6 linked regions of the Oryza sativa Japonica Group genome follow. The protein of the gene in region 1 interacts with the protein of each later gene in a pairwise test. Links are inferred from orthologs where the notes say so. Each region holds a gene or a part of one and is shown in the gene's direction. Other genes may lie near its edges.

The links.
Region 2: the proteins of E3 ubiquitin-protein ligase COP1 (region 1) and phytochrome A interact in a two-hybrid assay, tested with the Arabidopsis thaliana proteins (2 studies listed by BioGRID). The link is inferred for Oryza sativa Japonica Group from reciprocal best matches to the Arabidopsis thaliana genes COP1 and PHYA.
Region 3: the proteins of E3 ubiquitin-protein ligase COP1 (region 1) and cryptochrome-1 interact in binary tests that used the Arabidopsis thaliana proteins (3 or more experiments, as listed by UniProt). The link is inferred for Oryza sativa Japonica Group from reciprocal best matches to the Arabidopsis thaliana genes COP1 and CRY2.
Region 4: the proteins of E3 ubiquitin-protein ligase COP1 (region 1) and constitutive photomorphogenesis protein 10 interact in binary tests that used the Arabidopsis thaliana proteins (3 or more experiments, as listed by UniProt). The link is inferred for Oryza sativa Japonica Group from reciprocal best matches to the Arabidopsis thaliana genes COP1 and FUS9.
Region 5: the proteins of E3 ubiquitin-protein ligase COP1 (region 1) and transcription factor LAF1 interact in binary tests that used the Arabidopsis thaliana proteins (3 or more experiments, as listed by UniProt). The link is inferred for Oryza sativa Japonica Group from reciprocal best matches to the Arabidopsis thaliana genes COP1 and LAF1.
Region 6: the proteins of E3 ubiquitin-protein ligase COP1 (region 1) and transcription factor RAX2-like interact in binary tests that used the Arabidopsis thaliana proteins (3 or more experiments, as listed by UniProt). The link is inferred for Oryza sativa Japonica Group from reciprocal best matches to the Arabidopsis thaliana genes COP1 and RAX2.

What each region holds. Positions count from the first base shown.
Region 1 is NC_089036.1:33,025,553-33,030,654, reverse strand, and holds the start of E3 ubiquitin-protein ligase COP1, read left to right. Parts: upstream 1-1,665; 5' UTR 1,666-2,010; coding exon 2,011-2,352; intron 2,353-2,966; coding exon 2,967-3,044; intron 3,045-3,517; coding exon 3,518-3,673; intron 3,674-3,788; coding exon 3,789-4,148; intron 4,149-4,286; coding exon 4,287-4,441; intron 4,442-4,544; coding exon 4,545-4,610; intron 4,611-4,972; coding exon 4,973-5,051; intron 5,052-5,102. UniProt on the Arabidopsis thaliana protein: E3 ubiquitin-protein ligase that acts as a repressor of photomorphogenesis and as an activator of etiolation in darkness.
Region 2 is NC_089037.1:30,047,900-30,051,673, reverse strand, and holds the end of phytochrome A, read left to right. Parts: intron 1-76; coding exon 77-893; intron 894-1,174; coding exon 1,175-1,471; intron 1,472-1,573; coding exon 1,574-1,781; 3' UTR 1,782-1,791; intron 1,792-2,514; 3' UTR 2,515-2,872; downstream 2,873-3,774. UniProt on the Arabidopsis thaliana protein: Regulatory photoreceptor which exists in two forms that are reversibly interconvertible by light: the Pr form that absorbs maximally in the red region of the spectrum and the Pfr form that absorbs maximally in the far-red region.
Region 3 is NC_089036.1:25,400,007-25,405,341, forward strand, and holds the start of cryptochrome-1, read left to right. Parts: upstream 1-1,981; 5' UTR 1,982-2,242; intron 2,243-2,320; 5' UTR 2,321-2,532; coding exon 2,533-2,845; intron 2,846-4,002; coding exon 4,003-4,224; intron 4,225-4,491; coding exon 4,492-5,207; intron 5,208-5,335.
Region 4 is NC_089041.1:23,576,902-23,582,040, forward strand, and holds the start of constitutive photomorphogenesis protein 10, read left to right. Parts: upstream 1-1,959; 5' UTR 1,960-2,080; coding exon 2,081-2,369; intron 2,370-2,579; coding exon 2,580-2,653; intron 2,654-4,426; coding exon 4,427-4,574; intron 4,575-4,729; coding exon 4,730-4,827; 3' UTR 4,828-5,139. Other genes in the region: glucan endo-1,3-beta-glucosidase 4, read left to right, coding at 671-698, 787-916. UniProt on the Arabidopsis thaliana protein: Component of light signal transduction machinery. Involved in repression of photomorphogenesis in darkness by participating in the CDD complex, a complex probably required to regulate the activity of ubiquitin conjugating enzymes (E2s).
Region 5 is NC_089038.1:27,139,837-27,145,034, forward strand, and holds transcription factor LAF1, read left to right. Parts: upstream 1-2,017; 5' UTR 2,018-2,096; coding exon 2,097-2,232; intron 2,233-2,564; coding exon 2,565-2,694; intron 2,695-3,596; coding exon 3,597-4,152; 3' UTR 4,153-4,452; downstream 4,453-5,198. UniProt on the Arabidopsis thaliana protein: Transcription factor that promotes photomorphogenesis in the light by participating in the transmission of phytochrome A (phyA) signals to downstream responses. Probably acts by activating expression of light-induced genes.
Region 6 is NC_089038.1:8,541,667-8,546,909, forward strand, and holds transcription factor RAX2-like, read left to right. Parts: upstream 1-1,659; 5' UTR 1,660-1,679; coding exon 1,680-1,815; intron 1,816-2,580; coding exon 2,581-2,710; intron 2,711-3,116; coding exon 3,117-3,873; 3' UTR 3,874-4,307; downstream 4,308-5,243. UniProt on the Arabidopsis thaliana protein: Transcription activator. Positively regulates axillary meristems (AMs) formation and development, especially during inflorescence.

The sequences.
Region 1 (5,102 bases):
GCGCGAAAGCAAATTCTGTTGGAATTTTTGAATCGTTTCAGAATTTTTCAAATTTGAATTGAAAATTTATGAAGAATATTTTAAAAATAACTTGTAAATAGTCCTACATTTGTAGTAAATACATGCATATGAAATGTCAAAAAATATAGGCGTAGAATGAAAATGCTCTTTGGACAACAACTGAATTGGTAAATTGAAAAAAGACATCTAGAAGGGTTTACAATATGTGTTGATTGTGTATGCACTTTATATTATGGACTTTGTATTGTTGTTATACTATGTTGTTTATGCACTTTACAGTATGTATTGATTGTGGGTGTACTTTGTATTGTGTTGATGTACTTTATATTATGCGTGTTGATGTTAATGGCGTAACATATATTTGGTTATGCATATTTAATTGTCAATGATATGGACTTCAAATTATCTTGTATTTGTGTTCATGAATATACATTGCGCTTATTCTCAATGTGAGGTTGTCAAATTGTAGGAAAGGTCATGCTGAATTTCTTTATTAATTTCTTACATTTTCCCACGTTTCCACGGTTTCCCCATTTTGATATCCTTTTAGTTTGCAATGTTCCTATCATCTCCATGAATTTTCTCATATTTCAAACATTTTCCCCTATTATCCAAATATTCAGAAAACACAATTAATTCCCACGCTACTCTTTGGCTTTTCAGCAAATCCAATGAGTTTTAGATGCTTTTGTTTGGTTTCCAAAACACTGGAACGGTGGTTTCCTGTTCGAATCAACTGAAATCCTGGTAGTTCCGGTTGGAATTCGGTGATTTTGATCATTTTTCATTGACGGGCAAATGGAACTTGAGAATTTGGCTTCTTAATTTTGTTTGAAATTTGACGGTTTTCGTGAAAACCGTTATACTGACAGGGTCAGGAGCGGGACCTCGATTGGAAATATAAACCCTTGCCTGTAATACGGTACAGCCGTACAGAATTCGTGTGGTGGCCACGGGCTCACGCACCGGGTCAGTGATAGCATCCAGTGGCCAATTTGGCCATGGAGATGATGCATTTTTTACACGGAGAATGATCCCAGAAACACGCATGATCTTCTCTTACAAGAATTTTCTAACAGAACATCCATTTCACCACACCCACTTGTTCAATGCAGCGCTGTTTTGTAACCCACATAACAACCGGACCCAGCACGTCTGAAACTAAGGTTACTCATCGGTTACCTAAATTAAAGTACTCCCTCCGTATTGTATTTTAATGTATGGTGCCGTTGACTTTTTTTATCAATATTTGACTATTCGTTTTATTCAAATTTTTTGTGATAATGTGAAAATATTTATGTCATGCTTAAAAAACATTTGATGATGGATCAAGTCACAATAAAATAAACGATAATTACATAAACTTTGTGAATAAGACGAATGATCAAACGTTAGATAAAAAGTCAACAGCGTCATATATTAAAATATGAAGGTAGTAGTAATTTACAGAGATGTTTTAGCGACCTAAAATTCTCAAGTTTGAAATTTTAATTTTTGGTTTTCATTTATGAGGACAATTGGGACTCTAACCACTCCCCCGGTCGCTTCGCGACGCGTCCGTCCCGACCTGCCAAATTCCTCGCACGGATTAAGCAAACCAAACTACTCGGATTAAATGCGCAAATCGAAAGCACGCGTTCCATTGGGAGACCGGCAAACTTCGTTTTTTCCTTCGAGAGGAACGGAGACGGAGTTTGCCGTCGTCGTGTGCGTGCCTCCTCGCGTACGCACATTTGCCCGCAGCGCCGCGGCGCGCGAGGCTACCCCGACCCCGACGTGGTCTCCTCCCACCCATACACCCTTCCGCTTCCACGCCCACACACAGAACCCAATTCCCCTCCCTCCTCCTCCACCCGCCCCTCCCTCCCACACACACCACACCACCACCACCACCACCCACCCCTCGTATGCAATTATTCACGCCCAGTCGCCGCCTCCACCGCCGCCGCCTGCTCGACTCACCACCGCAGGGCGGCCTCCTCCTGCCGCATGGGTGACTCGACGGTGGCCGGCGCGCTGGTGCCATCGGTGCCGAAGCAGGAGCAGGCGCCGTCGGGGGACGCGTCCACGGCGGCGTTGGCGGTGGCGGGGGAGGGGGAGGAGGATGCGGGGGCGCGCGCCTCCGCGGGGGGCAACGGGGAGGCCGCGGCCGACAGGGACCTCCTCTGCCCGATCTGCATGGCGGTCATCAAGGACGCCTTCCTCACCGCCTGCGGCCACAGCTTCTGCTACATGTGCATCGTCACGCATCTCAGCCACAAGAGCGACTGCCCCTGCTGCGGCAACTACCTCACCAAGGCGCAGCTCTACCCCAACTTCCTCCTCGACAAGGTTTGCTTGCTCGTTCTGCTTACACAGCCGAGATGGATAATGGATTGGCCGTGGCTTCCATATTCCGCCGATCGATTGGGAATTTTGGATGCCTATCCTAATTTCAAACGCAGGGCTTTGTAATTGAAATGTCACTGCCCCGCAAAAAAAAAAAATTGAAATGTCACTGAATGTACCTTTGGATGTGGCTTGGGATAGGTATCCGGTATAACCAATTTTAACAAATGTAGCAACTATTCAACAGTATGCCTTTCGATTCGTTTGTAGCAACTATTCAACAGTATTCAGCGCTTGAGCTGCGATTTATTGTACTACTGTTTGTGGTAGCTTCTGAAGTAGTAGCAGGTGTTCTGATTGGATAGCTCAGTTTTATTTGACTTGCACGGTACATTACAGTTTGTTGTTAATGTAAGTTTTGTTTAGAATCACCAGCAGTGGACAGTATTAGTTCTATGTCTGCTCTGGTTATCAGTACCTATTATATAATTTGTTCATCACTAGAGTTCTTCTCTAGTTCTGTTAAAACTTAAAACAAGCTGTAATTACTGGTTACTTGATACTGGGATTGTATAAATGTATCTCTAAGCATGTTTATCACATTTATGTCTGCATAGGTCTTGAAGAAAATGTCAGCTCGCCAAATTGCGAAGACAGCATCACCGATAGACCAATTTCGATATGCACTGCAACAGGTCAGTCACTTCACATGTTTTACTTTTGAAAATGTCTACTTTCAATAGCTCCTTAAACATAGTGGTATGTTCCTAAATGGTTTTATGTACTGTGAAAATTTTGCTTCCGTACCTTAGCTGTGCTTGTGATCTTCAGTTCAGAACTAAGTAGTACAGAGTAGTAATTAAGTTCTACACTGAACATGCTTATCTCTTGCATCAATTGTAGAATCTAAGCTACTGTGACCGATATCAAAGTATCTTTTGTTCCTTCGCTCTTACAGCCACATGATCTCTATCGTCCTCTTAACTGTTACAAGGATTGTCCATATGATAAACCAAGTATACCACAGAAGATAGATTTGCACTACCTTGCTGACTTTATATCTGTTTCAAAATTCAAACATAAAACTGACGTTCTCTAAATAAGTAATAGATGAATGATGACCAAACACTATCATATGTTTTAGTTTAATTCTTCTTTCTTTTTCTAGGGAAACGATATGGCGGTTAAAGAACTAGATAGTCTTATGACTTTGATCGCGGAGAAGAAGCGGCATATGGAACAGCAAGAGTCAGAAACAAATATGCAAATATTGCTGGTCTTCTTGCATTGCCTCAGAAAGCAAAAGTTGGAAGAGCTGAATGAGGTTTGTCTATATGTATTTTTCAGTATGCAGGTTTTTTTTCTTGCTACCTACAACAATAAATAATCTTTTACTGATGTCTATTGTTGTTAATCATGTTAACCTCTTTTTTACACAGATTCAAACTGACCTACAGTACATCAAAGAAGATATAAGTGCTGTGGAGAGACATAGGTTAGAATTATATCGAACAAAAGAAAGGTACTCAATGAAGCTCCGCATGCTTTTGGATGAACCTGCTGCATCAAAGATGTGGCCCTCACCTATGGATAAACCTAGTGGTCTCTTTCCTCCCAACTCTCGGGGACCACTTAGTACATCAAATCCAGGGGGTTTACAGAATAAGAAGCTTGACTTGAAAGGTCAAATTAGTCATCAAGGATTTCAAAGGAGAGATGTTCTCACTTGCTCGGATCCTCCTAGTGCCCCTATTCAATCAGGCAACGTTATTGCTCGGAAGAGGCGAGTTCAAGCTCAGGTTTGTTTCTCCCATTGCGCGCTTGATAGTTTGGTACTATCATATTGCAAGCATGTAGACAGCTTAGATTAGGAACTTATATGTTTATTTTGTTTTGATGTAAGATGAAATGCTAATGTGCTATGGGGCATATTGCAGTTTAACGAGCTTCAAGAATACTATCTTCAAAGACGGCGTACCGGAGCACAATCACGTAGGCTGGAGGAAAGAGACATAGTAACAATAAATAAAGAAGGTTATCATGCAGGACTTGAGGATTTCCAGTCTGTGCTAACAACATTCACACGATATAGGTCCGCTGATTATTTGTCCTTTTTAGCACATTATGATCATGGTAGTGGTTATGCCTATTCATTTGGCTTATCATTCTTTTGTTCTCTGTCATTTATGCTTCAGTCGCTTGCGTGTAATTGCGGAGCTAAGACATGGAGATCTGTTTCACTCTGCAAATATCGTATCAAGGTTAGTGCTTTTACAAAATATGTGCCTTATTTCATGTGCATCAACATGCTATTGGCAATGTGGATGTTGTCATAGCTGAATCCTCAAGCCAGCAGTGAGCTGAGGAGAGGTTTTGGTTGGAGGGGGGATGGTCTATTGCTCCTATGAGTCAAACTTCAACTATGTTCAATTAGCAAACAAATCCACTAATCTTGAATGCTGATGTTTATCATGTATTATAAGGAACAAAATATGACTATAAGTTTGTGCCTGTTTTTTTGGTGCATAATTTTCATTTCCATGTCTATCTGTAATCTCATATGTTTTTCAGTCGCCTACCTTACATGAGAATAGGGAATCACATTGATATTTCTTAAATGCAGTATCGAATTTGACCGTGATGATGAGCTATTTGCTACTGCTGGAGTCTCAAAGCGCATCAAAGTCTTCGAGTTTTCTACAGTAAGTTTTTTTTCAGGAATCTTATGTTGGCCATAGCTATATGCCTGTATA
Region 2 (3,774 bases), on another chromosome or scaffold:
ATGCTCATACATTAATACTTGACATTCAGCTGCGTTGTGGGTTGATTGATTTCTAAACATTTCTTTGATTGATCAGGCAAAGAAGAGAAGGAAGTGAAATTTGAGGTGAAAACTCATGGCTCCAAGAGAGATGATGGCCCTGTTATCTTGGTTGTGAATGCCTGTGCCAGCCGGGACCTTCACGACCATGTTGTTGGTGTGTGCTTTGTTGCACAAGATATGACTGTTCATAAGTTGGTCATGGACAAATTTACTCGGGTTGAGGGAGACTACAAAGCAATTATTCACAATCCAAGCCCGCTTATTCCTCCCATATTTGGTGCTGACGAATTTGGATGGTGCTCTGAGTGGAATGCTGCCATGACGAAATTGACCGGGTGGCATAGAGATGAGGTGATCAATAAGATGCTTCTTGGTGAGGTGTTTGATAGCACCAACGCCTCCTGTCTTGTGAAGAATAAAGATGCATTTGTAAGTCTCTGCATTCTTATCAACAGTGCATTAGCTGGTGATGAAACAGAAAAGGCTCCATTCAGCTTCTTCGACCGGAACGGGAAGTATATCGAGTGCCTTCTTTCTGTTAACAGAAAAGTAAATGCAGATGGTGTCATCACTGGAGTATTTTGTTTCATTCAAGTTCCTAGTCATGAGCTGCAACATGCACTACATGTGCAGCAAGCCTCACAGCAGAATGCACTAACAAAGTTGAAAGCTTACTCCTACATGAGACATGCAATCAACAACCCTCTCTCAGGTATGCTTTACTCTAGGAAAGCACTGAAGAACACAGGTCTGAATGAAGAGCAGATGAAGGAGGTCAATGTTGCAGATAGTTGTCACCGCCAGCTGAATAAAATACTTTCTGACTTGGATCAAGATAGCGTCATGAACAAGTACTTTTCTTACCAAGTATTCTAAGTTACTCTCTTAGGCTCTTGTATTTACTTTCAGCTACCTTTGTTCTTCATCAATTGTCAGACCTAACAGGTCGATGGTGTTGCTCTTATAGTCTTATGTGTTTGTATTATCTTCAAGTGGTCAATTTTGCTCTCTCAAAATGAAAGAATTTGTTGCACCAAGTCCCAGTGGTTTTTTACTCATTACTCAGTACAAACCTTATATATATATTATTAGTTATTATCTTCAAACTAATTTCCTGCTGCTGTGTTCACAGGTCTAGTTGCTTGGATTTGGAGATGGTTGAGTTTGTATTGCAAGATGTGTTTGTGGCTGCTGTAAGTCAAGTACTCATAACTTGCCAGGGAAAAGGGATTAGAGTCTCTTGCAACCTACCGGAGAGATATATGAAGCAAACAGTCTACGGGGATGGTGTTCGACTACAGCAGATTCTCTCTGACTTCCTATTCGTCTCAGTGAAGTTCTCTCCTGTTGGGGGTTCTGTTGAGATCTCTTGTAGCCTGACCAAGAACAGCATTGGGGAAAACCTTCATCTCATAGACCTAGAACTTAGGTATGTTAGTCATGACATTTGCACGCTTACTCTTCTTTCTGTTAAGACAGTCTTGAAGTATAAAATGATGTGTATTAACTCTTGTGGATCAATGTTTTTCAGGATCAAGCACCAGGGCAAAGGAGTCCCAGCAGATCTGCTGTCACAAATGTACGAGGATGACAATAAGGAGCAGTCGGATGAAGGCATGAGTCTTGCGGTTTCTAGAAACCTGCTGAGGCTCATGAATGGCGATGTCCGACATATGAGGGAAGCTGGCATGTCAACCTTCATCCTCAGCGTCGAACTTGCTTCTGCTCCAGCAAAATAATCATGAAATGGTATGTGAAATTACTTAATTGACTGTTTAGGCTGCTCAGTTTGTTTTGCTTGAGACCCTGTTTAGATGGGACTAAAACTTTCAAGTCCCTATCACATCGGATGTTTGGACACTAATTATAAATATTAAACGTAGACTATTAATAAAACCCATCCATAATCTTGGACTAATTCGCGAGACGAATCTATTGAGCCTAATTAATCCATGATTAGCCTATGTGATGCTACAGTAAACATTCTCTAATTATGGATTAATTAGGCTTAAAAAATTTGTCTCGTGAATTAGCTTTCATTTATGTAATTAGTTTTGTAAGTAGTCTATATTTAATACTCTAAATTAGTGTCTAAATATAGGGACTAAAGTTAACCCGAGTCCACTGCTGAAACTGCGTCTTTTCCTGACTCGTGCTCTATTTAAGCGGCTACAAGAGTGCCTATAGAACCACCATGTCCTGTAGGCTTCGCTTCTTCCATTCTGATTTTTTTTAGCTACAAACATATTTTTCTACCATTTCTGAAATACATTGGCTTATGACATCCTCTTAATCTGTACACTTTGTCACTTGGTACAGATGACTAGCAAATATGATTTATCTAAATTGCTGTCCATTTTAGAGATAAAACTACAAACAATTGATTTCATATATTTATTTCTCTTGCGAACAACTTCCACTTTTTCAAAGTACCAGTGTGATACTTTTGCTAAAGAGTTGTGTTTTCTGCAGTTCGTTCGTATAGCCACGACGGTGGCTTGTGCTTAGGATTGGACGTACTTGCAGACTGAAGATTCACTGGCTGCAGATAAATGGTTGACTTTACAGATAAATGGTCGTATGGCACATTTGGTTATGTACTGTCGTCTTCTTCACCATGCTAATGTCAGTATGTGTAATCTTCTAAGTTGCAAATGCGTGCTGTTGCTCGCCTGAACTCATTAAGATTGGAAGTGAAAACACCAATCTGTAATATGCTGTATCTTGATGCTGAGAGCATTCAAGTTACTACTACATGAATAAAATATGGTTTGACTTTACTCACTAGTTCGAAAAGTAGAATCTAATAAAGCTTTTCTTACTTAGGGCCTGTTCTTGATTAAGGTACGGATTTCACATTGGTTTTCGTTAGCACGTTTTCTAAACCTGCTAAACGTCGTGTTTTTTGCACAAAAAAAAATCTATATAGAGATTGCTTTTAAGTTAAAATAATTAAAATTTTATTAATTATGCGCTAATCTTCAGTGAACTCAAATGGGGCCTGTAACTCAAATGGGACCTTTACAGGCCTAGTGCAACTAGGAAGTAAGGGCCTGGTTGTGGGAGCTTCTGGCAGCTGAAGATTCTTCTAGAAGAAGCTACTGCCAAAAGCTCTCCCCCCACCCCTCCCAAAAAAAACAGTTCTAATTTTCACTTAGTTTGAGAGAAACTGTAGCTGCAGAATCCAAAAAATGAATTAAAAGCTAGAAACAAGCTAGAAACTGGGTTTTTCAGCTTCCCTATCTTCTCTCCAGCTGTTTCTCAGAATATTAAACTTTACAAACAGGACCCAAAGCAGAATAGCAGATGTACCTGAAATTGAAATTTGGTGTCCCTCTTTTCTGCACTTGCTGTACGGTTGTCTGGTTGTACGGGTGAATGTTCATGAGCCAGCCACCTCCGTTGGCAGGCACCACTGGAACAACACTCGCTCAGCTGCCTCCTACTCCAGCCTGGATCTGGATGTGCTTGTAGCCCAGCCCTTTTTTTTTTCCTCGATGATCCCTCTGTTTCTCTTTGCTGTCAAACTGCTGGATCTGTGCAGAGAAATTAGGTAAGGGAACAGATGAATGGATAGATGATCAGGACAGATGAATCCCTGCAGAATCGCGACGCGACGCGGGGCAAAAGTGTCTCACTCGAAACGGTAATTAACAATCCCGGAGCCGGAAGGCGACGTGCGCCGCGGGCGGTAGGGGTAGGGCCGGCGATCGCCGTCGGTCGAGCCACGTA
Region 3 (5,335 bases), about 7.6 Mb from region 1:
TCGGAGCAAATACTCGGAAATGGTTTCAACGAATGACGAAGCAATAGGTAGAGGGAGATTATAAATGTGGGAGTTGAGATCAATTATTCGAAAGAGAGTCAAGGGAAGGTAGAGAGAGGGAGAGATGAAATTGAGAGGTTAAGCTCGAATTCGAGAGTCGGTTTGAAGGAAACAAGGGAGAATTTAGGTCTCGGAGGTGAATCATTGGACTGGGTTAGGGTTCGGGCATTCGACAAAGATTAGGGATAGGGTTCCAGGAGGGATTTCCGAATAGAAGGAATCGAGCTTCGGGATTATATTGGATGGAAAATTTTAAGGAGACGATCTTTGATAACAGGGTATTGAGACAGGGGAGGGATTTTAATTGAGATCTTTGGCACAACTTAGACTCAGCACTCAAAGAATCAAAATTTTCGCAATTAGGGTTTTCGGTGCATTAGCTTTTAACGCCACGCGGAAATCGGGGCGTTACAGGCGGCCTTCGCTGTCTCGCGCAGGCCCCCACCGCCGACGGGAGAGGCAGACGAAGGCGACGAAGCCCCGCCGCCGCCGTCCTTGCGGCCGCGCGGCTTTGCCGGCGGCCGGTCGGGCGGCGGCGAGGCGGCAGAGGGAGGAAGGGGGGAGCGGCGACGCCGGCTGTTTTTGCCTCCCGTGTCGCCTGTGAGGGAGGGCGACGCGGGGGCGAGGGGAAGAAAATCGCGTTACTGCAGTTATGTTGTACGGTAACTTTTTGGCTAAGGATGAAAAGCAAGGAAGGAAAGCTTTTCGGTCCAAAACCAAGAAAAATTTTCATTAATATTTTTAATTATGATGTATAACAATCTTAATGTTTTGATTTATTGCTCGGTATTTCTATCACTGAAAAATCGTTTTTACCCGTTCGGGTATTTTTTTTTTCAGGCTGTGTGAGTCGTCACGAAGTGTCCGGGCGGCCTAACCATGTTCCCTACCTGGTTGTAGCTGTCAAGGAGATCAAGAGATTGTGGGTAGAACTAAACCAGCACTTTCTTCCTATGTACATAGAGACTATAGAGGGTATCATCGGAGTTACCTGAGCGGGCCATTTTTTTTTTTCTCGTGAAGGAGAAAGAAAGCATGCGGGTGGGTGAGAGAGACCGGAAGCATCATTGCTACAGTTGAAGATGAGATTTGAGATGAGATAAGGCCGCCGTCGAAGCTCTCAATGGAAAGATCTAGGCCCTCCCGATGGGCCCAGACGATCGAGGAGACGACGGCGACGGGGACGGGAGATGAAAAGGCGACCGGCCCCGGTTCACTGAACGCATCCTTTCGGGATAAAACCCCAACTTTGGTTACAGCCTGGGTCGCGTAATTGCGCGCGCTTCGCGTGCGGCCGTGCAGTGCATGGGCAGCGGCATGGCCTACTCCTATCCAGCATCTCCACTGATCATTGCTGCTCATGGCCTCACCGATCGTTCGATCTCCGGCCGTGGCCAGTCACCAGTCGTCAGTCCGACGCAGTGTTCCATGGGAGCCACGTATGGGGGGTCCCGAAGCGAGTGCAACAGTGACTGGGATTTGGCTGTTAAAGTTGGCGCCTTCGACCACCAGCCCACCCCGATGTGTAATCACTGTGCCAGAGTAGCGTAGACGAGGAAAATCTGCTTTGATGCAGCTCGCAACTGGGGCAACTGGCTTGGGAAGTGAACTGAAATCCACTGCATCGGGACGGCGCTGGCGGCGGTGGTGAGCTTGTGGCCTAGTTGTAGTACGGGGTAGTAGGAGTAGTAGTTTAAAGGAGTATATCACGTCGCTGGTCCCCGACTCCCCCGTGGTCGCAGCGAAATCGCACCGGTCGATCGGTGGAAGCTCCGGCCGGTGGAGCTGAGCTAGCGATGAAAAGTCGCTAAAAACTAAATCGACCGTATCATTTCGCAAATCCCGATTGGTCCCCGTGGCGCAGCGTGGCGTGAGATCTTGTTATACTAGTATTTAATTGGGATTTGGGGGGGGGGGGGGTGCGTATGCGTGCGTGTGCGCTGCTTCTTCTCTCAAGTGGTGGAGGGGAAGAGGAGCACAAGGAGAGGCAGACGGCGATAAGTCGCTCGCTCGCCAATTCGCCATGATCGGGTGGGGCTCCGCTACCGTACACGCCCCGGAGGAAGCCCAGGCCCCGCCCATGCTGCTGAGCTCGTGATCCTGCGCTCCTGGCCACAGGCTGCGATTCGGCGTTGGTGCGCCCACCCTCGATCTTGGCCGCTTGCGCGCTTCCACGATCTGAGTATCCTGTCGCGTACTGGGGTCTTAATTAATTTACTAGTGACCGTGCTCATCTTCTTCTTCTTCCTCCTCCTTGCAGGGGTTTCTGGTCCGAGGCGGCCATCAAGATCCGTGCTTCTTGTCCTTTGGCCCGGGCGGAGTGGTTTCTTTCTTGCACGGGACGTGCTCGACGGAATGCCTGTGAGGGGAATTCGCTCGCTGTGAGTTGGGAGGGGTGGTAGCTGTGCTTGCCTGCTTGGTCTGGTCATGGTGGATTGAGTGCTTGGGGGTGGTGGGATTTGGTCCCTGGGCATGGCCGGTTCGGAGAGGACCGTGGTTTGGTTCAGGAGGGACCTCAGGATCGACGACAACCCGGCGTTGGCCTCCGCGGCGAGGGACGGCGCTGTGCTCCCTGTCTTCATATGGTGCCCTGCGGATGAAGGGCAGTTCTATCCCGGCCGGTGCTCCAGGTGGTGGCTCAAGCAGTCGCTCCCCCACCTCAGCCAGTCACTGGAGTCGCTCGGGTGCCCGCTCGTGCTGATCCGAGCCGAGAGTACCCTTGAGGCTCTTCTGCGGTGCATTGATTCTGTCGGCGCCACCAGATTGGTTTATAATCATCTGTATGGTATGGCTACTTTCTCATGGCGTTTCCTGCATCAATGGAGTTTCTTATATGTTGTGTTATTCTATTTCTTTGTGAAAATATTTTTTTTTCTTTACACTTTGGATGCGAAGAAATCTGACCATGACGACTTTGAAAGTCTTAGCCAGCTACATCATGTACTTTTATGTTGTCAAAAGGCTCAACTTAATAAGTTATGTAACATTTGATCAAAAGCTATTCCGAGTGAAGCCTTGTAAACAACATCATAGATCTTTTTTTTTTAAGAAAATGGATTAAAATCATAGATCATGCCAGTTGCTTACATGCTGTTCTAAATGTAAATACAGTAGAAAGTTCTCTCAATTTATCCATGGTTATGTATCATAAGTCAGTTCATTTAGTTGGTATTGACATGATATGTGCTACAAACATCACTAATACACATTTTCCCCACAAATATAAAAAATATTCAAATTCATATATAGGAAGAAGGAAACTATCTCTAAACAATTAAAATTGCATTATATGTAGTAATCTGGCAGTAGTTTTTCCTATCAAAAATTCATAACAATAGCTTTCGAAAAGAATAAGGCAAAAAGCATATGCGCATGAAAATAGAAACTAGGCCAAGTATGATTAACATAAATACTTCCTCCGTTTCATATTATAAGACTTTCTAGCATTGCCCACATTCATATATATGTTAATAAATCTAGATATATATGTGTGCCTAGATTCATTAATATCTATATGAATGTGGGCAATGTTAGAAAATCTTATAACCTGAAACGGAGGTAGTACTACATAATAAAGTGCCAAATAAATCTTTAGGGGCTAACTTGAACCAACTATAGCTTATGGTCTTATTTGTCATAGTTCCACTCTTCAAATATCAAATACCAAATACTATAAACTGTCACATCAGAGGGGAAAATCAAACTCAAAGGTTTGACATTGCAAAATGAGACGGCCTTTTCCATTTGAGCTAGTACAATATTGATATGAAATAAACAACTTTGGGTTTTCTAGTTCAGACTTCAGAAACGTGTACCTCTAAAGTTGGTACGGAGTACAGCTGTGTTCTCTATTGTTCCATTCCACTAGCAGTTTTGTTTTAAAATTACTCTTTTCAGATATGCTGGTTTAATCTTATTTGTTCTCACTCTTCTAAATTTTAGACCCTGTTTCTCTTGTGCGTGATGACAAAATAAAAAAAGAGCTTTCGGCACTGGGAATTTCCATCCAGAGTTTTAATGGTGATCTGCTGTATGAGCCATGGGAAATTTATGATGATAGTGGACTTGCATTTACAACCTTTAACATGTACTGGGAGAAGTGCATGGAATTACCTATTGACGCATCACCGTCACTTGCACCTTGGAAATTGGTGCCTGTCCCAGGTAGATCGTGGCTAGTGGCCTACCATTATTTATCTTTTTTATTTTTGAAGATTTTCTATGTTTTTAATTTGTCTGTACTTACAGAATTATCTCTAGATTAAGTTGTTTACCTTTTTTCGAGAAGTTATTTACTTGCAAGCATTACTCGTTTTATATTTACAGATTTAGTAATTGATGCCCTTCAACCTTTACACTCAATGAGTCAATGTCTAGTTTGTCAAGATACAGCTACTTTAATGCTTAACAATTTTTCAGTTTGACATTCAGGTTTGGAGAGTGTTCGTAGCTGTTCTGTTGATGACCTAGGACTTGAATCAAGCAAGGATGAGGAATCAAGTAATGCTTTGCTAATGAGGGCCTGGTCTCCTGGTTGGCGCAATGCAGAAAAGATGCTTGAAGAATTTGTCTCCCATGGTCTCCTAGAATACTCAAAACATGGAATGAAGGTTGAGGGAGCTACTACATCATTGCTATCACCATATCTTCATTTTGGTGAGGTGAGTGTAAGAAAAGTATATCAACTTGTAAGGATGCAACAAATCAAGTGGGAAAATGAGGGAACATCTGAAGCTGAGGAGAGCATTCACTTCTTCATGCGGTCAATTGGTCTTCGAGAATATTCACGGTACTTGTGTTTTAACTTCCCATTCACACATGAAAAGTCATTGCTGGGGAACTTGAAACACTACCCTTGGAAAGTAGATGAGGAGCGGTTCAAGTCCTGGAGGCAGGGAATGACAGGATACCCATTGGTAGATGCTGGCATGAGGGAACTTTGGGCTACCGGATGGACACATAATCGGATAAGAGTTATCATTTCAAGTTTTGCTGTGAAATTTCTACTTATCCCATGGACTTGGGGTATGAAGTATTTTTGGGATGTGCTATTGGATGCTGATCTGGAAAGTGATATTCTTGGTTGGCAGTACATATCTGGGAGCCTGCCTGATGGCCATGAGCTCAGTCGTCTTGATAATCCAGAGGTATGCAGTCACTAAAGCACAAAATCCTTTTTTTTTTTTTTTTTTTGCTATCAGGTAAGCTTGATTAAGGCATGCTTGGTCTTTACCACATTTTCGATGGCCCTTGTGCAAAAATGTCGCTTGACACA
Region 4 (5,139 bases), on another chromosome or scaffold:
AAACTAATAGCCACCAGCCACCATAGCAGTTTAGATCATGTTGGTTAGATTATTAGTTAACCAGCCCAATATTTTACTGGTTACATGGAAACTTGCTTAAGATCTGTGAAACTTATAGGGGCTTATCCTGTCGCATGCTATAATAGTATCCACATGACTACATGATTTCTACGGTGTCTTCCTGTTCCTGGTATGCAGCATGGCAGCTATTACAAACTGTTCTGATCCAAGCGAAACTAAATGTAACAAGTGCATGCAAAAGAACTGATTGGCTCATTCATTGGGACTTTGTTTGCCTATTCTTAATATGACTTAGATGCCATTGAACGCCAGTAAACACCTTGGAGCTGCAAACAAGGTTATAATTGAACATGTTTGAGTTTGTGTATGTCTGACATGGACCTCTGATTACATAGGAATGGTAAGCGAGAAAATTTGAAGAAACCTTAGACTTTAGATATCTGATCATGCTAATATAAAATGTGTTTACCACTAGTTAAATGCATGATCACATCCTGAAGTTTCATGCATTTTCTTATAGAAGGCATCCTGAAGTTTTTTTAGTGTGTTCAAAGAGATCAAGAATATTTACTGTTAGATTGGACCGGGTGATTACTTATTTTCCCTGTTTGATGAGCCTAATACAATTTCCCTGGATCAAAATATGCAGGCCATGGTTCATGCATTTTTGCAGGAAGGTGAGTCCTTTCTCGATATTTTTGTGCTAACGGTTCTACATTTTTTTTTTGGCTCTACGTCCTGATGCAGTGTTGGTTCTTCTTGCAGCACTGGCTCCAATGGCAGCAACGGTGGTGCGGCGTCTGGGCCCGTAAGCCCAGACAATTTTGCTACACAAATTCACTCGTGCTGGTTGACTCACCTAATTACATTGCTGTCTATCATGGTGTTCATGTAAAACCCTGTAAAAAAATGATGCGTTTTGGATGAGATGCCCGAAATTTATTGTGGATCTTGTCAGTAGGAGTGTAGGAGGCCATATTTGTCTTAGATGTATTGAGGTTAGATGGCATGTGTTTCTCAAAATTCGTTGACCTAGAGAAAGGAGTCAAATACATCAATTTTGAATGCCAGGCTGGGAGTATTGAATTGTGGAAACCTTCTTTTCTGAAATGTTTGTATGACTCAAAAAGTGTTTTGTGCTCCCTGCATATCGCTTCAGTACTGAAACTGTCACTCTTGTTGAGTAACAGTGTTTTTCTCTCAGACTCACTAATATTTTTTTTCTTCTAAATTTATACTCTTGTTGAGTACTACATGTTTGTTAAGTTTTTTTTTTGGTCTCATGTAGCAGATGCAAAAATGTCTGGCCTGGTTTGTACAATGAAGAATTAAGTCCTACATAAAAATTTCTACGTTCTAAAGCAGTCCATATGTTACAGTTACATGGCACCGAAATTTATTTATGGTTTTTCAGGGTTGGATTTATGTGTGGTCAGTTTAAAATTTGAGTACTTGGTCGCTTTTGGCCCATTATTACTGGCAATACTGGAACAGCAAAAATGGATTTATAAGAGTATATGTGGAGCTATCAGGCTGTCACGCAGAATAAAAGCACGTCTCAAATCAGTTTCTCTCAAATTTTAGTTTTCATATTTTGTACTCCCGTCTAAAAAAACCACTGTAGGTGGCGATTTAACTCCACATAAAATTTCTGAACATATGTTGCAAATTCTCCTCTAGTTTGGTTTTTAAGATGGATAGAGTAATTTATATTGAAATGCAATTACTTCCTCCGTTTCACCTCCGTTTCACAATGTGAATGTGAGAAATGCTAGAATGACTTATATTGTGAAACAGACATCAATATGAATATGAGAAATGCTAGAATGACTTATGTTGTGAAATGGAGGGAGTAGTATTTTACACTGAACATCACAACAATTATGAAAAATAAATAAATAAATTCGCACCTCCCCTCATCGTCCCGTCACTCCCTCTAACCTTTCCCCTCTCCGCCGCTCTCCCCCCACTCCGGCGTCGCTCTCCATCCCCCCACCACCGCCGGCGGCGCCGCTCCCCCTCACCCCCAAGGCCAAGTCGTAAGCCAGCCGTCGAGGCCATGTCGTCGTCTTCCTCCTCCTTCCCGACCTCTCGCTCCCCTTTCCCCGCCGGCGCCGGCGCCGGCACCAGCGGGGGCGGAGGAGGAGGAGGAGGGGGCTCCGGCGGCGGAGGTGGGGGTGGAAGATGGAGCGGCGTGCGCCCCTGGGGCTCCAGCGGCGGCACGTCGGTGTCGTCGTCGGGGAAGCGGATTCAGAAGGAGCTGATGGACCTCAACGCCTCCGACTGCTCCGCCGGCCCTAAGGGCGACAACCTCTACCACTGGCTCTCCACCATCATCGGACCTCAGGGTATCATCGCCCTTCCCCCTCTCCGCTTACTCCCCCCTGCTAGCAGCAGCCGATAAAGCTCGTGCGAATTTTACTGCGGCTCTGCGAATTTCACTAGTTGAAATCGCGGTTTTTTTTTTTTCAAGTTTGGAATTAGGGTGTGGAGTGTAGAGTGAACTAGTCTTATGACCACCTTCACTTTGCTGATCTAATGCAGTGCTCATCTTGTAGGATCTCCGTATGAAGGAGGGATATTTTTCCTCGATATTGTATTCCCAATTGACTATCCGTTTAAACCTCCCATGGTAAGAACTAAGAATTAGCTTCTTTTTTTTTTTTCTGTTTGCTTAAATGGGCTGTTGGTTATGAGGTGTCTGGCTTTCTACGAGATCATATAGAAGCTTAAGTTGTAACTTGACATTTTCTCTCCTTGTCTGTGTGCATTCTACCTAATGCTGTGATTCATGAGTGATCATATCGCTGTTATTGGAACAAATATCTAGAATAAATATGGCATTCCCTTCAGTAACTATTGATAGACGACTATTGATTTACCGCGTGGAAGTGTGGTTAAGGTAACATGGGAAATGCTTGCATCCAAAGAAATGTTTTTAAGAGACATGCGCATGTCTAAAATCTTGAAGAAGTGGAATAGAAATTCAAATAGGATGGATAATTGGTTGGGATAATATTGTTGTATAGCTAGTTCTACTTCACTATGTGAACAGGGTATTACAAAAGTGATGAACATTGGTATGTTTAGTAAATGCATAGGGTATTTTGTTTCAAAAGTCTACCTTCACCGGACTTCTTTTAGTTTCTTCAAAATAAGTGTATGATCTATGCATTTTAGCCTGGAAGGGGTTTGAAAATGTGTCGAGTTGTCTGCAAGGATTAAGATTCATCCTAAAATGGAATATCTCATGAATCTTTTTGGGGACAAGGAATGCTTCTGTTCAAGGGCTAACTCAGCAAACAGTGTGATGATTAGAAGGGCATAGATAACAAAAGAGATTATGTTAAAGCTAGTTTATTTTGTTATTAATTAAAGCGACCTGCGTTCTTTTTAAGGTAAGCACCATTTACCTCTTTTCAATATGATCTTGATTATTTATGAAGAAAACTTATCTGAAGTCTGTTTTATGCTTAGTGTTCAAGAAAATAACTGCGCAGAGTTTCTAAAATGTTGTTTTCCTAGACATCCCCTGTTTTGGTTGATAGTGCTGTGTTAAAATTTTACAGAGAAAGGTTTTGTCCATTGGAAGCCTAATGTGCTTGGGCATCACCTTCATCCTATGTCAATATACTATTTGCATAGTAGTCTGGTAAAAAAATGAGCCTTCTAAATGCAGATTTTTGGTCCATTTAGTGTTGACATTGACTAATCAGTATACACCTGCTGGCTGTAGCCTACACAGCCCTACATGATCACCTGCTTCATGGTTTGTTGGTTGCTAAGACAGTAAGACTGTTACTGTCTTTGCCCAGCTATTACCATCAACTTATAATTCCTTGATGGGAGGTAGGATATGAAGGATCCGAACAACCAACCTCCATTTCTGCTCTTCAGTATTTGATGGAGCATCTGGAATTCTCCCCCATTCTCTAGATAGCAGTGCTGGAAGCCTAGGGCAATGCTAGGACTGATTTGACCTAACACACAGCCCTGCAGTGGTCTACCTTTTACCTTAACCAGCACATGGAACCATGCAAACATCAATACAGTCCAACATGGCAATCATATTAATTCTGCTAATGCTACACTCCATATAATTTGGCAATAGTAAGTGAATTTCTCAAGTTTTTGTAGAGTGGATAGCACACTCATAATACAGAGGAAATACACATGGGCTGGCAATTGTGGCTTGATTTGATGTTTCAGTAATTAATAATATGGAAGGTAATACACTCTTCCAGTTGAACATGCTAAAATTTCAATATTGAAGGAACAGCAATTTCAATGTTTATATAGAAGTATGAAACAATTGAGATCCACTGCTGTAATTTTATCCGATATTTCGGTATTAGGGGACCTCAATTCGTGGTTACAAGTTATAACTGTTCTGTCACTGTGCTAGGTAACTTTCAAGACAAGGATTTATCACTGCAATGTTGACTCCACTGGTAACTTGAGTATGGACATTTTAAGGGAAGGATGGAGTCCTGCTTTAACTATTTCAAAGGTGCTACTTGCCATTAAAGCCATCATAACAAACCCAGATCCATGTAAGTTCCAAGTTACAGTATGATCACAATTGTTCTGTTTCTGCACTATCTTCCATGATAAAACATGCAGTCCTGTTTAAACTATGTAATATACACATAATTTTTGCTTCATTTCATCTTGATAACTTCATATTATGATTGTTTTTTCCGTGCAGACTGCCCACTTGTGCCGAGCATTGGACATTTATACTTGACTGATAGAACTAAGCATGATGAAATAGCTGCGGAGTGGACGATGAGGTTTGCAAGATAGGGAGTTCCATCTGCAGCTAAGCAAGATCACTAACTCCGTAAATGAATATATTTGGTGTACCCTGAGATGTACAATGTTGGGAAAAGATCAATACTTTGTTTAGGTTGACTGTGACATAAGATGTACCTGTGCATTTTATATTAGACAATTATTATGTTGTTAGCTTTTAGGTGGCAGAATTGGCTTCAATGGTATTGTACTTATCAAGGTATTTGTTTAGAATCAGTTCGTCCAACCTACGAGTAAGTTTCTGAAATGCTATTTATTGGACCTGGGCAAGTGGGCATTACCTCTTATCTGAGGTGTCAGTGA
Region 5 (5,198 bases), on another chromosome or scaffold:
ACGTACAGAGTATATATTATGGTCTGATTCAACGATGGCGGTCCGGTGTATAAACTACTTGATCTTACCTTTTCTTTCTGCATTATATGTGTGTACGTGTAAATGGGAGGACATATGCACGTATAGTTTCTGTAGCTTTCCGTCACAAGCAATTTATTTCTTCCTGCTGGGATTAAAATATTTGGTCCGTAACTCTTCGAACTGGCAGTTTGACGTCTTAAAATTGAACGATTCAATATTATTAAAGTCGCCAGAAAACTGCAGTTGAAATCAAGCTTCACAACAAAATAACGTAACGTCGTACATAATGAGAATTTTGCAGGGTAGGCGTGTACTTCTAATTTTTTTAATATGATAAAGGAAGTAAACAATGCGCCATATTTTGAAAAAGAGAGTACTATCATTATGATAAAGGACTGCCTTTACAAATTCAGTAAATAAAATACTCATGTATTATTCATTTCAACTCAACACACTAGACCGACACAAGTGGAGGGAAAGTCATACTACCCCTATTTATTTTTAGAGTAAATTCATAAAACTGCCATTATTTGATCAATTATATCGCTTTACTACATCTTTAACTAGATATTTCATATAATTGCAACAACTGCAACAACGAACGGTTTTATTATAAAACCATAATTTTATCCCATAGTGTGTATGACATGTGATCCCGATTTGCAACAATACAAGTATCTCATAACACAATATGCATTACTCCTATGTGTATAACAAGTGAGTCTAATATCTTGTTAGAGCTATAAAATTGCAGCTTTCAATAAAATCTTATGCTATTATTGTAGTTCATTGAAATGCTTTGCTGAAGTTGCAACATATTGATAGTCTGGAAGATTTCTGAAATTTACTTTTATTTTTAACATTGCGTTTAACATATACGGATATACTTTATTTGATGTTTAATTAGGATATCGATAGAGCCCTCAATATATAAGTTTGATTTTTATCTTTTATTGCAATACATTGATAAAAAATTATAAATTATTACTACATGAAAATATTTTTAATGACAAATCAACTGTTGTCTTCGCATATTAAAATTTAGTGGCCATGATCAGCACTTGTGCTCCAGCCAGACAACTCTGATTCGACACTGCTGCGGCGTAATTGTAGTCAGCACTACCGATCAGCCCCTATTATAACACATATTCACATATATTGATGATCTAAGTCCTTTTAAGGTTTTTCGTTTCAGCAGCAGTACAGCAAGCACCTCATCCATCGACTTCAGTCTTCAGGGATGCCAGAACGTAAGCACACCATTCCATCTTTTGGGCGTGAATGTGCACAAAACGATGGCACCGAACAGCAAAGGGCACAACATGTGTCAATATGCAGCGGCGACTGGTGACACGAACGTGTGCCTTGAACAGCGGTGGCAGCACGCCAAGGCGCCAATGCGTAGCAACAGCAGCCCGAGTGATGAGTGACTACGTGAGCACGCATGCGGACCGCCGGTGGCGTGGACACCTGTGGTGGCAGTGGCAGGCACACTAGTGGCGAACAAATTAAAATGCCTTTCGATTTCCCGTCTGGTTTCCGCCGCATAAACAGACATTATCACGGGGTTTACTCTTGTCTCTTGCAAGTGCCAAACCTTGTAATTTTATTTCGCTAAAAATTGCATCTGCTTTCAGACTACTGCAGCCTCTGAGAATTACAGAAAGCGAAGGTATGTACTCCGTCCGATGTAATGATACTAGTGCCATGTACATATATGGTTTTGGTCGGACAGATAAAAAAAACCATTTATTTTTTCCTCGGAACTAAAAGAAGGAAAAACAATCGGCGACCTAACCACTTGCTTATTCCCGTGAGGGGCCACAGGGCCAACGGTGATGATTGGGCGAGGCCTATAAAGCCCCTGCGCCCATCTCTCACGCCAACGCAGACCGACACAACAGTGCAGGCCGCAAAGCAATCACGGCCGTCCAAGCAAGCCGCCTCCTCCTCCTCCTTACCAAGCCAAAGTCTTCTTCTGCTTTCTTTTCCCCTCGTGCTGCTCGCGGTTTGGCATTGTCTCTCTAGAGTCTAGACTCTAGAGTCTCCTCTTGCTCTCTTCTCGTCCGCCATTGATGGGGTGCAAGGCGTGCCAGAAGCCCAAGGTGCACTACCGGAAGGGCCTGTGGTCGCCGGAGGAGGACCAGAAGCTCCGCGACTTCATCCTCCGCTACGGCCACGGCTGCTGGAGCGCCGTCCCCGTGAAGGCCGGTAAGACCACGGTTCCGAGCTCCGCCTGCGACGATTTCGCCGGGGAATTCACCGCGAATTTTGCAACTGCTGTACGCCTGAATGCATTGCACCTGTGTCCTGCTTCAAAACCCCCCTGTTTGCTTGTTGCTGCTCTCGTTTTTTTCTTTTTTTTTTCAAATGCACCTTGATTTAAGGGAAGGGGAGAAGGGATTTTTTTTGTTTCCTACTATTTGCAAAGTGTTGTTCAGCTTCAGGACGATAGATGAAGCCTGTTTGAGCTTTTGTGTTTTTTCGTCAAATGTACCTTGTCTGGTGAGCTGAATTCTCTTCTGAATTTGCCTTTCATGCAGGGCTGCAGCGTAACGGCAAGAGTTGCAGGCTGAGATGGATCAATTACCTGAGGCCGGGGCTGAAGCACGGCATGTTTTCCCGAGAGGAAGAAGAAACCGTCATGAACCTGCACGCTACAATGGGCAACAAGTAAGTGTCACACTTTTCACCTTACCTTTAGAGCCAGGAGATTGCTGTCAAGTAACGCTAATTAATTTAGCAAAGTAATTACTCCAACAGAGAGTAATTTTGGACATCCTACCTTCTGCCTTTTTACTCTTTTTTTTTCTTTTACTACTACTGCACTTTGCTAGTGTCAGCTCGGCAAATTCAGTTTCAGAGTGGAAAAGGGCCTGGTTAAGTAAGAACAAAAGGAAATGCTGATTTTGGCCATCTAGACCGCTTTTGAGTGGTGTAGTTGATGCTGACATCTACGTTCCATATTGAGGCAATCAATTGCTTCTTTTTTCCGGTGCACATTTGATGATTGTGAACAACCATCTTCCTCTGATTAATTTATTTGCTGAAAGGCGTGCTTAGTCACGGTTAACCTTTTCTTAGCATAAAAGAAATGGGGGAAAAATCAGTGTCTGATTCCTCTCTCCCCCTCTTGAGAAAAATACTAACGCATTTTCTGGAGGTGATGTGGTTGCTTACTGGTGCAAATGCAAGTTGCCAGCTATTTTTGCACTCTTCTTTAGTCCTGGTTCCATCGTCAGAAATCTTAACACCGTCCTTAGACACCAACAGTCTGTACAATCTCATTTATGAACATGGACGTACGGCAACTGCTGTACTACAATCAGACTAATCACAGTTCACTGAGAATTATGGAAACCTCTGCTTTGACGAAACCTAGAAAAGATCAACGTGTGGTACTACTATGACAATAAAAGATCCTTTATTAGACTGACTGTGCAATAGTAATTCGAAAAAAAAAAGATTAAGAAGGCGATTATAAGTTATACTAGATAAGAAATACTTTTATCTAACTTTTTTTGTTTGAAACTAGGACTTTTATCTAACATGGTGATGGAAATTTGTGGTTGCAGGTGGTCACAGATAGCGCGGCATCTGCCTGGCCGGACGGACAACGAGGTGAAGAACTACTGGAACTCGTACCTCAAGAAGCGAGTCGAAGGCGCGGAGGCTGCGGCCAGAAAATCCGCCGAGCCGGCCGACGTCGTCACCGGCAGCCCGAACCGCAGCGAGACCGGCCAAGAACGCGTCGCCGCTGACCGGCCGGCGAGCTCCGAGTCTTCCGGGCCGGTCGAGTCGTCGTCGGCCGACGACTCGAGCAGCCTCACCGAGCCCGCGGCGGGGCTCGCCGCCGTCCGGCCGCACGCGCCCGTGATCCCCAAGGTCATGTTCGCCGACTGGTTCGACATGGACTACGGGACTAGCCTCGCCGGGACGGCGCCGGGCCTGAGCTACCAGGGCTCGTCGTCGGTGCAGGTCGACGTCCCGTGCGGCGGCGCCGTGGACTCCCTGCACGGGCTGGGCGACGGCGGCTTCTGCTGGGACTTCGACGACGCGGCCGATCACATGCAGGGAGGAGGAGGGCTCTGCGACCTGCTCTCCATGAGCGAGTTCCTCGGCATCAACTAGGCGGGAGCGTACGCTCTTTCTTCCGTACAGTTCGTCGCCGAAGTGTAAATTCGTCAGTTTCTTTTTTTTCCCCCTCTTTTTCAGAGGTGTAAATCGTGCCGTGCATGTGTAGTAGTTAAACTTACTGGCTTGTAGTGTTGAGTTTGGACTTCGAAGCCATGAGTTGTGCGTCGAAGTACAGTCTTAGCTTTCTCTTCATAAGGTTCGTGACTTCGTGTATACAGCTCTGGTTTTCCGGAAAACGGTTCAGAAAGAATAACAGAAACAGAGCGTCACAATTGCACGGTTTTCAGGCTTTCAGTATTCTGTTCTTGTCTGAGGAACACCGCATCCGCATGCTAGCTAATATGTCCATGCAAATGCAGGTCGCTCTCAATTACTCCCGAGCCAATGAGACATACTCCCTCGGTCCAAAAAAAAAGACAAACCCTGGTTTCCGTGCCCAACGTTTGATCGTCCGTCTTATTTGAAAAAATTATAAAAAAATTAAAAAGACAAGTCACACATAAAATATTAATCATGTTTTATCATCTAACAACAATGAAAATACGAATTATAAAAAAATTTCATATAAGACGGACAGTTAAAGTTGGACACAGAAACTCAGGGTTTGCCTTGTTTTTTTGGGACGGAGGGAATAGTCCACAAAAAGATCTACTCAATCACCACTGCAGTTCTACGATTGTGGAGTCCGGATTGATTTGTGTTTTCGTTCTGTTATGCTTCTCTGAAAATCTGATCCCCTGTGAGGCTGTGACCCTGTGGTAGGTTGAGACTTGAGAGATCACTTCTTCCATATTATCGAAGAGAAAGACATGTCCAAGGAGAAAGTGCTATTGGGATACTGTGTTTTTGCACCATAAGTTCATTCTTACCCCAGAAATAGTACCAGAATTACCGGCTAACCGATCGGTCACCGTGTTTCACTTCATACGTAGATAAATGTAGTCCAAATAGCTCATTTGGATTGAAGGAAATTTGAATGATTCCAATTCAAATGAAATTTTTGGCATATTATCTCCTTTTGAACAGAACAATATATATTT
Region 6 (5,243 bases), on another chromosome or scaffold:
CGCTTTCAGTCCTCCACCTACATGTTGTTGAGCTAGAACTTGTCAATCTGTCATACGCGTGACCAAGGGTTAAATATTTGAGAAATCAAAAAATAAACATTTGGGGCACCTAAATTCCGAAATCGATCTCCTGATGAATAGCTTGAAATTCTGAATAATTTTGCTAAAAACTTAGTACAAATTCTCTGCCGAATAGCCACCTGTAAACTGGAAATTGTTAGACGGAAATACTGAATCGAGAGGCAGAGAAATTAAGCCATTAATTTGTCTAGGTTCTCTTATTAAAAGAACATTTGTCTAGTGATCAGAAGTTGCTTCGGTTATGTATGTATTCGGCCCTCCATGGAAGAAAAAAATACACAAGAGAGGCAGTGATTTCAAAGGTTGGCACCTACCCTGCGTCCCTGGCCAATAATAGGATAGCCAGGTCTTATTGTTGATCAAAGGACTCCGGCCGGCTAGCTATAGACTTTCAGCGTAGTAAAACTCTCTTTTTGCAGTAATTTAATTGGCAATTTGCCATGGGACAACTCATTCAAGGTGCAACAGTACGTTAGGGTCCACGTATAATTGATTGGTTTTATTCTTAATTAATGTGAACATATTTTAATTGCTTGCTATATATGTATAATTTAACTTAGCAATGGACTTATATTCTTTTTTGGCAACGAAATGACTATGCAAATTATTAACGCTCTCAAAATTCATAAAATCGCATATATGGTTGAATGGATGAACAAAAGCTAGCTTTAATTAAAACACAATTTGGAAATAGTTATTCCTAAATTTTTAGACAATGTACAAGTGTTTATATTTCTGGCCATAAAACAAAAAAGAAAATATTCTAAAACTCTCTAGAGAATAGAGAAAAGGCTAACGGATCTAGGTCATGTTAAATAGAATTCTGATTTATTTTATTCTCGTTTCTCATAATTGTCATTACTATATATGGAATCATAGATAACTATACAATTGAAAATAATAATTTGAAAGAGAAATTAATCATTCACCTAACTTTTGTCTCCTCGGAACAAAAATGGCATCTTCCATCAGAAAGGCTTAACCATTTTCCAATGTACTTAGTGATTTACTTTATCCGTGACTCTCTACTACCTGCAAACATGCACGCAAGATTCCATGTGCAAGTGTACTTTGTCTATAGGGAACAGTGATCATGACTCTGGTAGTAACGCTATCAAGTCTCCATGGAAAAAGCTCTGAACAACCTTTTCTTCCCTCTGTGCTTAGATTTGAAGGGGCCAACCAGCAGCCTGGAAGGGTGATTAATTGAAGCCAAACAAACACAAGCCTACACACTTTGACTTGTTAACATCTTCACTATAGTCTCTCTCTCTCTCTCTTCCATCTCTCTCACTGGTCTTATATATTTTTCTGTTTGCTGTTTGTTGGCTTGTGCTGCTCTCTTCTCTGTGCCTGGCTTTCTGTGTCCCAATATATCTCCTGAAAGGCAGTGTTTCTCTGTCTCTCTCTATGTCCTCTAGCTAGATAGTAGATAGCACAGAGGAGAGAGCTCTAGCTTAGCTGCTGCTGCCCCGGCAGCTAGCTACAAATTAAGAAAAGGGTTAGGAGCAGTGGGATTTGGTAGTTTGGTGCGTGTGTCTTGTTGCTTTTAGCAGCTTGGAGTTGAGGCAAAAATCCAATTCTGCTCAATTGGACTCATGGGGAGGGCTCCATGCTGTGACAAGAACAACGTCAAGAAGGGACCTTGGTCGCCTGAGGAGGATGCCAAGCTCAAGGAGTTCATAGAGAAGCATGGCACCGGCGGCAATTGGATTGCTCTCCCTCAGAAAGCAGGTATATATGTCAACTTAATTTCAGAGATCTTGTGCTAGCCCTTTGGCGATTTTGTATTTTTTTCCCCCTTATGAGTTCATGTCTAAATAAGGCTCGATCACCTTAATTTGCAGCTGGTTTCTTTTCTTCTTTGTAGAACTAATTGATTTGTTTTCTTCGTCTGTTTTGAGAGTTTAATCAGTTGTATTCTATGGATATAACTCCTCTCTCTCTCTCTCTCTCTCTCTCTCTCTCTGTGTCCCCTTCTGTAGATGAATATATATGTTCAAGTCTGAAAGATCTTATTTACTGCTAATTAAGTATAAGGTTTTTCCAATTTTTTACATCGATCATTTTTCTCTTCGCGGATACTTTGTTAAGACGATAATTTGTTCTATAGTTTATTTAGCACTAATAGTCGTACATCCCTTAATTTGTTAACTGGTCAAGAGTGTAATAGATCTCTGACATAGACACAAACAATGTTATGTCAGGCTTGCCGGCTGCCGCATGCAATTATAGGTCTTGATGTGACTACCCCGCTTGTTAGAAAAACGCAATGCAGATCAAGATCCTAGAACTCGTTTGTTTGAAAAAAAGATCCTATAATCCTAGTTGAATCTTCCTTATAGGAGCTTTTTCATACATTTAATTTTATGCTAGCACTGAGCAATATTTGGCTGTTTATAAGTTATACATCATTAATTCTCATCCCCCTATAGTTTTTACGCAATATTTGAGCTATTTGGTCCTGAATTTCTGACCTTATTTATTCTATAATTATAGGATTGAGGAGATGTGGCAAAAGTTGTAGGCTTAGATGGCTAAATTACCTGAGGCCCAATATTAAGCATGGAGAGTTCACAGAGCATGAAGACAGGATCATCTGCAACATGTTTGCCAGTATTGGGAGCAGGTATATACATATATCACAATGCATATATAGAGTTTTCTAGATTAAGATGTACATTTAACCTTCCTTTTATTTCGATCTACTTAATTTCATCCCAAACATGCATAAGTATGACCTGTTTCTTCTCCCTAGCTAGAAGAATCCTTAGAAGTTATAATTATTTACTAGTAATATGTAGGTAGGAGTATGTCTAATCATCAGCAAATGAAGAGATACCTAACTATATATATGCTCTGATACAATTTCAAGTACACATTTGAGAAACTTTGGCATCTGTAGTAGCTAGATAGCTACCTACCCCAAGTCTTGTCTTGTAGAACAGTACAAAGATGACATGAGAAAACCTAACAAACAAGGAAAAAAGAAGAATGCATGCAAATCACTCATTTCTACTTGTCATCCATTTTAGGTGGTCTATAATCGCGTCGCAGCTCCCCGGCAGAACGGACAACGACATCAAAAACTACTGGAACACCAAGCTCAAGAAGAAGCTCCTCGGCTCGAGCGCCGTCGCCGCCGCCGCGCCGCCACGGATACAGCGTCATCAGCAGAGCCACCACCGGTCGTCTCTCCTCCTGCCGAACTCGCCGTCGCTCAATCCCGGCGGCGGCTACCCAGGCTTCTTCTCCGGCGCCGGCGGCTTCCATCCTCAGGAACCAGCTATGCCGTTAACCCTACCGACCACCACCCAGGAATTCATGCTGGGCACTCACTCTGGCCTTCCAATGGTGAGCGCCTCTGCGCTGCTCAACCATCTGCACGGCGCATCACATCATCATCAGCTGCTTGTGAAGGAGGAGATCAGCAGCAACATGATCGTGTTCGGCTCCGACCAGCAGAGCTGCAGCTCGTCAGATGGGCTGGCGGCGCCACACAGCCACAACCACCATGGCAACAGGGAGTTCATCCTTGATGGCTACAGCTATGGCGTCGGCTACGGCAGCAGCTGCATCGATCAGGTCGACAACGACAAGCTGTTCCAGCATCATCATCAGCAGGATCAGGCACAAGAACAGCAGCAGCAGCTGGTGTACAACTACGACGAGATCAAGCAGCTGCTGATGAACACATCAACCACAAGTAATAGTATTAATGCTGGTCAGGATCATGGCGGCAGCATGGAAGCAGGGTTGATCGGCTCACAAGGGAAGGTAACCATGATGTAAATTAAACTGATCGATTAAAGAGGAGGGGAAGGCAGCAGCTGGGCACGGCAAGATTAAGGATGGATTAATTAAACCAAGGTGTGTTGTTTTTTTTACTGTTCTTTGATTGGATTCTACCGTACGTACGTGATGCATGGCGCGTTTAATTGTTGTGGTTAAAAAAAAAAAACAAAGGAAAGAAGTGTGTCCCGTGTCACGGTCGCATGCACGTGCCAGTGCAGCTGCTAGTATAGCGTTTGCGTTCGTGTTACAGCCTGCAGTGTGTTGTATGTCACTGTGACATGGGATCGATCGATGGATATCATGATAGAGATAATCTCTCTCTCTCTCTCTCTCTTGCTGTTGTATTTTCTCTCTCTCTCTTCAGTATAGTGTACTCTCTCAACTACTGTGGAAACTTGATTACTGTGTGGCACAGGCCAGCAGATTCAGTACTTTTGCTCCACTGTGTTGTGGACACATTTCCTTCTTCCTGCAGTGCATGCTTCGATGTAATGTCTGTGCTACTACTACACGTCTTTTCTCTCTCTTCCTTGAACTCTGGGCATAGGTTTGTTGCTGCTGTGGCACAGTGCATGTGAAGCCGTGCAAGTTGTGTGCGTAAATAAAAAATTGCTGGCGTCGCAGCATATCGATCAGTGCATGCATGGAAGCATGCATGATTGGCGTCGAGATGGCACATGGGGGGACGACGAGAAGAAACGAGTCTTTGCAGTCGTCCTTTGCCGCGAGAAACGTGTCTTGTCGCGAAGAACACGGTTGCAATGCAGTCGGAGTAATTTTTTTCTTTTCTCTGGTTTTTTTTTGTTTTTTTTAACGATGTGTTAGTGCTGGCAGATCAGGCAGAGTTGGCGCATGAAATGGAAGCGAGATCGATGAAAGATTCGACGAGAGAGGGGAGCGAAAAGATTCCCAGCTTGTTGCTAGTAATTTAGTGCCTCCATGGACAGACATTGTCCAACAGTGCGAGGGATATCCGCCTCTCTGTCGTCGTTCTTTGTGCATACAGTAGTTAATTTGCTTTAAACGAAAACACATGACAGATAAAAATCTAAATAACTTTTAGGGTCCTAAAAAAAAAGCTATAGCTCTTATAATTGTATTTAATTTTCCACTGAGAATTTTATAAATATATCTCTACTATTTTAAAAGCGTAGTCGTTTTCCTTCCGTCCCCTTCTCATCGTATACGGAAGGTTGATCGCTCATTTCATATATGTGTATAACCCAGTCATTTATTCTCAATCCACCTATCTAGTCAATCCCCAATTATATAAATATGGCTCGTTGCAAAGCATGGGCATATTAATTGTATAGTTTCAAAGAGCAAGTTAATAAGTGTAAAAAAGAAACTAAATAAGTTTGAAGTTA